Linked DNA regions of Kluyveromyces lactis. The protein of the gene in region 1 interacts with the protein of each later gene in a pairwise test. Links are inferred from orthologs where the notes say so. Each region holds a gene or a part of one and is shown in the gene's direction. Other genes may lie near its edges.

Evidence for each region.
Region 2: the proteins of HOM3 (region 1) and FPR1 interact in binary tests that used the Saccharomyces cerevisiae proteins (3 or more experiments, as listed by UniProt). The link is inferred for Kluyveromyces lactis from reciprocal best matches to the Saccharomyces cerevisiae genes HOM3 and FPR1.

What each region holds. Positions count from the first base shown.
Region 1 is NC_006042.1:2,555,804-2,560,246, forward strand, and holds HOM3 (aspartate kinase), read left to right. Parts: upstream 1-2,374; coding exon 2,375-3,943; downstream 3,944-4,443. Other genes in the region: KLLA0_F27577g (cytochrome b5-like heme/steroid binding domain-containing protein), read left to right, coding at 859-1,377; CBR1 (cytochrome-b5 reductase), read right to left, coding at 4,252-4,443. UniProt on the Saccharomyces cerevisiae protein: Phosphorylates aspartate, the first step in the biosynthesis of amino acids that derive from aspartate (the aspartate family of amino acids), including methioinine and threonine, the latter of which is a precursor to isoleucine.
Region 2 is NC_006037.1:1,009,410-1,012,395, reverse strand, and holds FPR1 (peptidylprolyl isomerase FPR1), read left to right. Parts: upstream 1-1,584; coding exon 1,585-1,929; downstream 1,930-2,986. Other genes in the region: EAF7 (Eaf7p), read right to left, coding at 2,228-2,986. UniProt on the Saccharomyces cerevisiae protein: PPIases accelerate the folding of proteins. It catalyzes the cis-trans isomerization of proline imidic peptide bonds in oligopeptides.

The sequences.
Region 1 (4,443 bases):
TAACAAAATTTCGCATGTTAAATTCGGCAATCTACTCATCTAATTGCAAAAAAACGCTTTTTAGTTTTGTTGCAACACACAAAAGAAACGAAAAGAAAAAACGCATTCTTTGATTTTATTGTGCGATTACACCTTCTTTATAGTCCATGGAACAGACATATGTTTTTTTTATCGATTTGCATCGATCCTTTTTTTCCTCTCAACATACATAAGATTCTTTTTTATTTAAGAAAAGTATTTAATTTCGCAACTTATGTCTACCTTTTATAATGTAGTTGAAGGAGGAAGACTGGTGAGTTCCAAGACTGGATTGATAACTTATATGCAGAGCACATTTTGCCGTGAGTGCATACTGTGTTTGTGTCTGTTATTTATTTTACATCTGTTCGAGTACTATTATACAGGCAACAGGCATTCCTCCACTCATCACAGATCTTTTTCTTTTCCATTTGTTACCGTCCAATTGTTACGTATATCACCAGCTGTATCTCCAACTAGAGAATATAAAGGAATCACTGTAATTACTGATATTATTACCAGGGGGCCCATTGGATGAGACATTGATTGCTTTTACTGTTGTTTTCAAGTTTATTATTGCTAGCTCTGCTATATCGCTTCCACGAGGAACAGTACTATCAACTAGATTGACCCATTCAATTTTTTTTTTTTTTTTGGGTTCAATATTATAACAATTGTTTTGTTTCCGTTTTGTTGCTTTCGACTAATCGATCAACAGTCCGTCACTATATATTCGTGGAAGTTCAATTGATTGGTGATTATTTTTGTGTTTCTGCTTAGATTTTCTGAGAATTTTATTCTTTTTTTGGTACAGCATTCATAGCATTTCATTTATTTAAAATGAGAGACCCGCTAATAACTATGGATGAAGTAGCACGACATAGTTCGCGGTCCGACTGTTGGACCGTGATTCATGGCAAAGTGTACGATATAACCAGTTTCCTTCACAAGCATCCAGGAGGTGCTCAAGTTCTTTTGAAATACGCAGGTAAAGACTCAACTCTGCAATTCGATGACATTGGTCATTCTATGGAATCCCTAGCATATGACTTAGACCCTGGTGCTTTAAAGGGAACATTATATTTACCTAATTCCAAATCAAATCACAACAGCGACAACGAAGATGATTCTTCACTTCCGTATTTCTTGAGTGCAAGCTTCCTGCCGTCAAGTTTACTTTGGATCACTAGCATTTATCAAGCAATAAGAAAATTCTTTTTGCTGGAAAGAGACACTAGGATATGGTTGTTCAGTACAATAATTTTCTTCTGTGTGCTTACATTAGGATTTATTCACTGGGGTCATGATCATAATATCATTGATAATAATGATTATGGAGTTCCCGCTTGGATGGATTGACGCAACTAAAACCAAAGTCTACGAACTCTTGAAAATGCGGAGCCAACCGCAAAGATAAAACATTCAGCCAGTTATTCGCGAAATTCACTTCAATTATTAAACTTTTTTTGATTAAGCTTCTATATGGGAAGCCGCATATCTTATAATGGATCAATTCTGGCAAACAGTGCCAATCCATTTAATAATATTCGAGTACCCACAAACTACAACGTTACTATACCATAGCTTTCTCATTTCCTCTCATTTTGTTTCATCGAATCATTATCAGTGACCTTTCTAATGTTAGGAGCTATTGGACGTTTCGATTCTGTTCCTACTTCATTCCATCATTGCATTATATTTTCCACTACCTTTGTCACTTCAATTCAAAACTTCTTAAAGTTAGCCAAGCTGAAAAGCGATAAAACGCGAATCAAACTATAACACAGCTATTACAATACGTACATCCGCTTAAGTTATAGGTATAACATATTGAAATTACAAATAAAAATCAGGAGAATTAACTCACAATTTTATGTTGTTCTTTACTGTTCCATTACTATTTATTCATAACCATTATCATAACTCCATTTCATTATTTTGTTTATTCTTTTTCAATGCTAGTGTAGCCCACACTTGCTCCATCTAATAAATTTTGTTTATCATGCAGCATCAGCGAACAATTTCCATTGCATGCTCTTGAATCACCCCGCTTAAAGGGCATATACCTGTCTACCATATAGTTCCCATTTTCGTAAATCACGTGAAAATGGCATAATTATCCCATCAATTTTCCATCGAACCTCACAGTTCTAGAAAATATATTGTGAAAAACTAGAAAGATTTTGACAAAAAGTAATTGAGTCATTTGGTTTGAATGAAATTCATATAAATAAAGGAAGCTCCGACAAAAACCCATTAGCACATTGTCCTCAGCTGTGTGTTTACAAGACTGCTATACCCTTTGGAAGTAGTAACAGGCCTTTTCTATAAAATAACTTAAAGTATCGATTACGTGATGATTGAAACTAGTAACTGGGTTGTACAGAAATTTGGTGGTACCAGTATTGGTAAATTTTCCAAGCAGATTGTAAATGAAATCATCAAAGTGTACTCTCAGGAATACGACAATAACGTGGCTGTCGTGTGTTCTGCTAGGTCTTCGTACACTAAAGCTGAAGGTACTACTTCCAGATTATTATTGGCATGTGATCTAGCGTCAAACAACAACTATGAATATAAGAACGTTCTTGATTTAGTCGAGAGAGATCATGTCGCAAATGCAGAAGAGTCTGTCAAGGATATTACCATCCAAGAGACTTTAATTGAGGATACCAAGAGAGAAATAAATATTGTCAGGAGATATCTGGATGCCTCTCAAGTCTTGGGTGAGGTGTCTACAAGAACTTTGGATTTAGTTATGTCATTGGGTGAGAAACTATCCTGTTTGTATGTGACTGCTCTTTGTCAGGATAATGGTGTCAATGCGAGATATGTGGATCTCTCTTTTATTGTTCCAAGTGATTACGAATGTAAGGAAGGTACTCTGGATAATAGTTTCTACACCTTCCTCGTCACCGCTTTTAGAGAGAAGCTATCGCCGATCTTAAAAGAAACCGAGAATGGCACCAAGATCATTCCTGTCATTACTGGGTTCTTTGGAGTCGTTCCAATGGGTCTACTTAATGGTGTTGGTAGAGGATATACTGATCTATGCGCCGCCTTGATCGCCGTCGCACTAAATGCTGACGAATTACAAGTATGGAAAGAAGTTGATGGTATCTTCACCGCCGATCCAAGAAAAGTACCCCAAGCAAGACTGTTAGACACAGTTACACCCGACGAAGCTGCTGAGTTAACTTACTACGGTTCAGAAGTCATTCATCCATTCACCATGGAACAGGTTATCAGAACTCACATACCGATTAGAATTAAAAACGTCCAAAACCCTAAGGGTAACGGTACTATTATTTACCCAAGCGATCAAGCCAAGAAGGGTGAATCCACACCTCCACATCCACCTGTAGCGTTAACATCCTCTATCTTCGAATCCAAAAAGAAAGGCGCTACGGCCATCACTACTAAATCTGATATTGTTGTGGTTAATATACATTCTAATAAGAAGACGTTATCTCATGGGTTCTTGGCAGAAATGTTCTCTACGTTGGATAAATATAAACTAGTTGTGGACTTGATTTCTACTTCTGAGGTCCACGTCTCTATGGCCCTTCCTGTACCTGATTCAGATTCCCTAAAGGCTTTACGGTGTGCTGTTGAAGAGTTAAAGAGACTAGGTACAGTCGATGTTATTAAGAAAATGGCAATTGTCTCTCTGGTCGGTAAGCAGATGAAGCAATTTGTTGGTATTGCTGGTACTATGTTTACAACCTTAGCTGAACAACATATTAATATTGAAATGATTTCTCAAGGTGCTAATGAAATTAATATCTCTTGTGTCATTGATGAGAGCAATGCAGTGAGAGCTCTTCAGTCTATTCATGCAAAATTATTAGATTCTCCGCAGAATGAAAATTTTGAATCAGCAGTGAATGAAAGGTTGGAACAAATCAAGCAAATGTCTTTATAGATGTTGATTAGATCAATCAATAGACCGAAAAAAATAAAGAAAGGAAACTATTTTCCATAGAAAGAAGTAGTTTATGATGTTCTTGTGATAGGCATTTTTGCACAAAGATGTTCTTTAACATAGTTTAATAGGCTCTTAACAGTACGTTTGGATGATATAGGTGCCGGAGCTAGAGTCTTTTAAGTAATGATACAATATAGAAAAAAAAAATTACCGACATTCTCCCGTCTTTTATAATGAATTTACAGGTTGGATAAAGATTTTACTTACATCATAATACTGAACCAGCGATATGTATTCTGATTGTCTTAAAATACAAAGATTTGGTCTCCCATCTTAGAAATAGGTTTAGCTTTCTCGTAACCTAAAGTGACAGCATTTCTCTTAATAGATGAAACCATAGGAGGCGGACCGCACACCAAAAGTTGGACGCCTTCAGCTGGAGCTGGAAGACGTTCTTTCATAGTATCAACGGTGATATACCCAACACCACCAGTCCA
Region 2 (2,986 bases), on another chromosome or scaffold:
ATTCTATTATGACGGCAGATTAATTTGGTCTAGTCTCTCGGTACCAAATTCAAATGCGAGTGGCTCAAAATGTGTGTGTTCAGCGAGAGGATATCGTGGATTAAATGTGTGGAGAGGGCAGTGAATTTGAATCAGAGCAGAGTTAAGCTTGATTAACTGATCAATTAAGACTTCGAGACTTTTTTCCTAAAACTGCATGTTACTTGACTTACCTCAGACAACCATTCAGCAAGGAATGGGATTCGAGTTGAGAGAATATTCCGAAAATAGCGAGATCAAGACGGATATGGACTTACAATAGTGTGCTCGGTATTAAACCTTGCACCAGAAAACTGTGGGTATCTTGTGAAATGACTACAGTGTCTTATGTGAAATTCCAATACATCATCACTAGGAGCAGGTTAGTTGGCTGAAAGTGGTAACAAAAGAAAAGAAGTTTGAATGTACAAAGAAGAAACGATCAACGCGAATAACTTTATTTCAGCCTGTGGGCCTAGAAACAGTATGAAACAGTGCACGAGTCGAAACTTGCTTTCAGTGGTATTAACAGAATAGGCAAAAAATGCGGAAGAACCATTTGATCCGTCATTGAGAAACTGTGAAGACGAAATCGGAGAACTCTTTAGTCCACCTTTCATTCGATAGCCCATGGTTACGGAACTGAATTGCAAGACTATGTACATTTTTGTACGACGTAACATATTCGCTGGGCAGTTTCTTTTCTGCGGCTCAGTCAACGGAATATTTTGCAATACTAAATGAAACTTCATAACATGTTAGCTAATAAGCCGCTCTAAGTATCACCAATTCCGTTTATGAATAAGAGTCGATGTGCTACTGTGAATTCACATCTACTCGACTACAAGTTGACCAGCACAATTAGGATCAACCTGCTTTTCCAGAAATGTTCTCTTCTAGACCCAGTAACCAAGAATTTGCTCACTTTCCCTTAACAGGTATCGAGGCGTTAATTCTAAATAAAGCAAATGAGGGCTGAATTACAAAGCACCATACCTCAAAGTTTTGAAAACCTGGCTCTTGCTATAGTTATTCACCTTTTAATTATCAAGCAATTATAAATCTCAAACACTTCTGGACATACAGATGCGGACAGAGCATAATAGCAAATGAGATATTTCGTAGGATATTCGATGTAGTACGGCTTAGTGACGTCGGTTGTTGTTCAGGAATGTACAATTTCAGGTGATTTAAAAACCCTATGCTAAAAGGTTCGATGATCTTTATTTGAACTGACCTGAATGTTGGCTGTGCTGCCGTTGCGTCTGCTCAAACCTCTTACAGGCATGTTTCCGCGAAAAGTGATTGCTTAAGTAAGAAAGAAAGAATGCAGTCACGTGACAAATGCTGAAAGTCTTGAAGTCATTAAATACGTTACCACTGCTTCTAGAAATCATTATCGTTCAGAAAACAAAAAGTTTTCATTTCTATAATAAGGATTCCTACATTCTACACGAAACTGTTGCAATTACGAGGCCAATTGAGTGCTATTTTGTGTCAGTTTAATCCGTTATTGTATTGCAGTTTTAAAATAACTCAGCTATCACACATCAAACAGCAGAAACAATGTCCGAAACAATTGAAGGTAACGTTCAAATTCTAAGATTATCACCAGGTGACAGTACCAACTTCCCAAAACCAGGCGATTTGGTAACAATCCATTACACTGGTACTTTGGAAAACGGTCAAAAGTTTGATTCTTCCGTTGATAGAGGTTCTCCATTCCAATGTAACATTGGTGTAGGTCAAGTTATCAAGGGTTGGGATGCTGCTATTCCAAAGTTGTCCGTTGGTGAAAAGGCAAGACTAACTATCCCAGGCCCATACGCTTATGGTCCACGTGGTTTCCCAGGTTTGATCCCACCAAATGCTACTTTAGTCTTTGATGTTGAATTGTTGAAGATTAACTAGATGTATAATGTCATTCTTCTGAATAAAACACATACTATTAATTTCCTTCACATTTTTTCTTTGGTTTCTCCCTTGATTCCTTCCAATTGGTCCCATCCATTATTATTATTATAGCTTTACATCTTTCCGTACCTTCTCATCAACCTTTCAACATGGGAATTGCTATCAAATTGTAGCCGTAGTGTTTGTATGCTTCCATTTTAACATTCAATTTTTGTACATCAACGAAATGCCTATAATATAAACCATTAGCTATATTATGTTGTTATTGCATTATTGAAAAAACAATCAAGAACAACTACTTCCTGCTTCTAAGCCTGCTCGAGAGCCTTGTAGTTGGTTTTGTTATGGATTTTCTTCTTGTTCTCCTAGCTGGAGAATCCACGTCGGCAAGATCTTCAGGAACTTCCTCCGCAGCGGCAACTTTTTGTTTCTTAGGGCGCGGCTGTTGAGATGATTCCGTTTCGTTCTCTTCTGCTTTCCCTGTCGGCGAATTAGCTGATTCCTTGGCAGCACCTTCAGATTCATCAGCAAATGTGACTTGTTTTGTAGCTGTAGTATCTGCGGCATCAGCAGTCGATTCTTTTTCGCTACCAGATCTCCCTTCTGTATCGTGTTCGACATCTTCCTTTTCATCGGTGTTTCCGCCATGGGGTTGGTCTTCTTTGTTTTCACTTTCGTCATCAATGCCTCGCTTTTGTGAACGTGTCAACCTTGTAGAGCGTCTTGTCCTTGGTTTCTTATGAGCATCGACAGGTTCATCGACAGGTTCATTCGCCAGTTCGCTCACAGATTCTCCAACACTGACTGGCGGAGTGGTCGCCATTTCTTGTTTCGCCTGTACATTATTTTGCTCAGTATCCTTTTCATCGATATCCTTTTCTCGTTCCCGTGGCTCTTCTGACTCTTGTTCTACTTGCGTATCCTGTGATTCCGCACCCTTCAGTTTTGCCTTGTCATCCGCAGAAGCGGTCTCCTCTTGCTTAATATCTTCCACCTCATGATCCCTAGCATGTTCTAACATAAGTTCTCCATAATCTTCCCACGATAGTTCAAA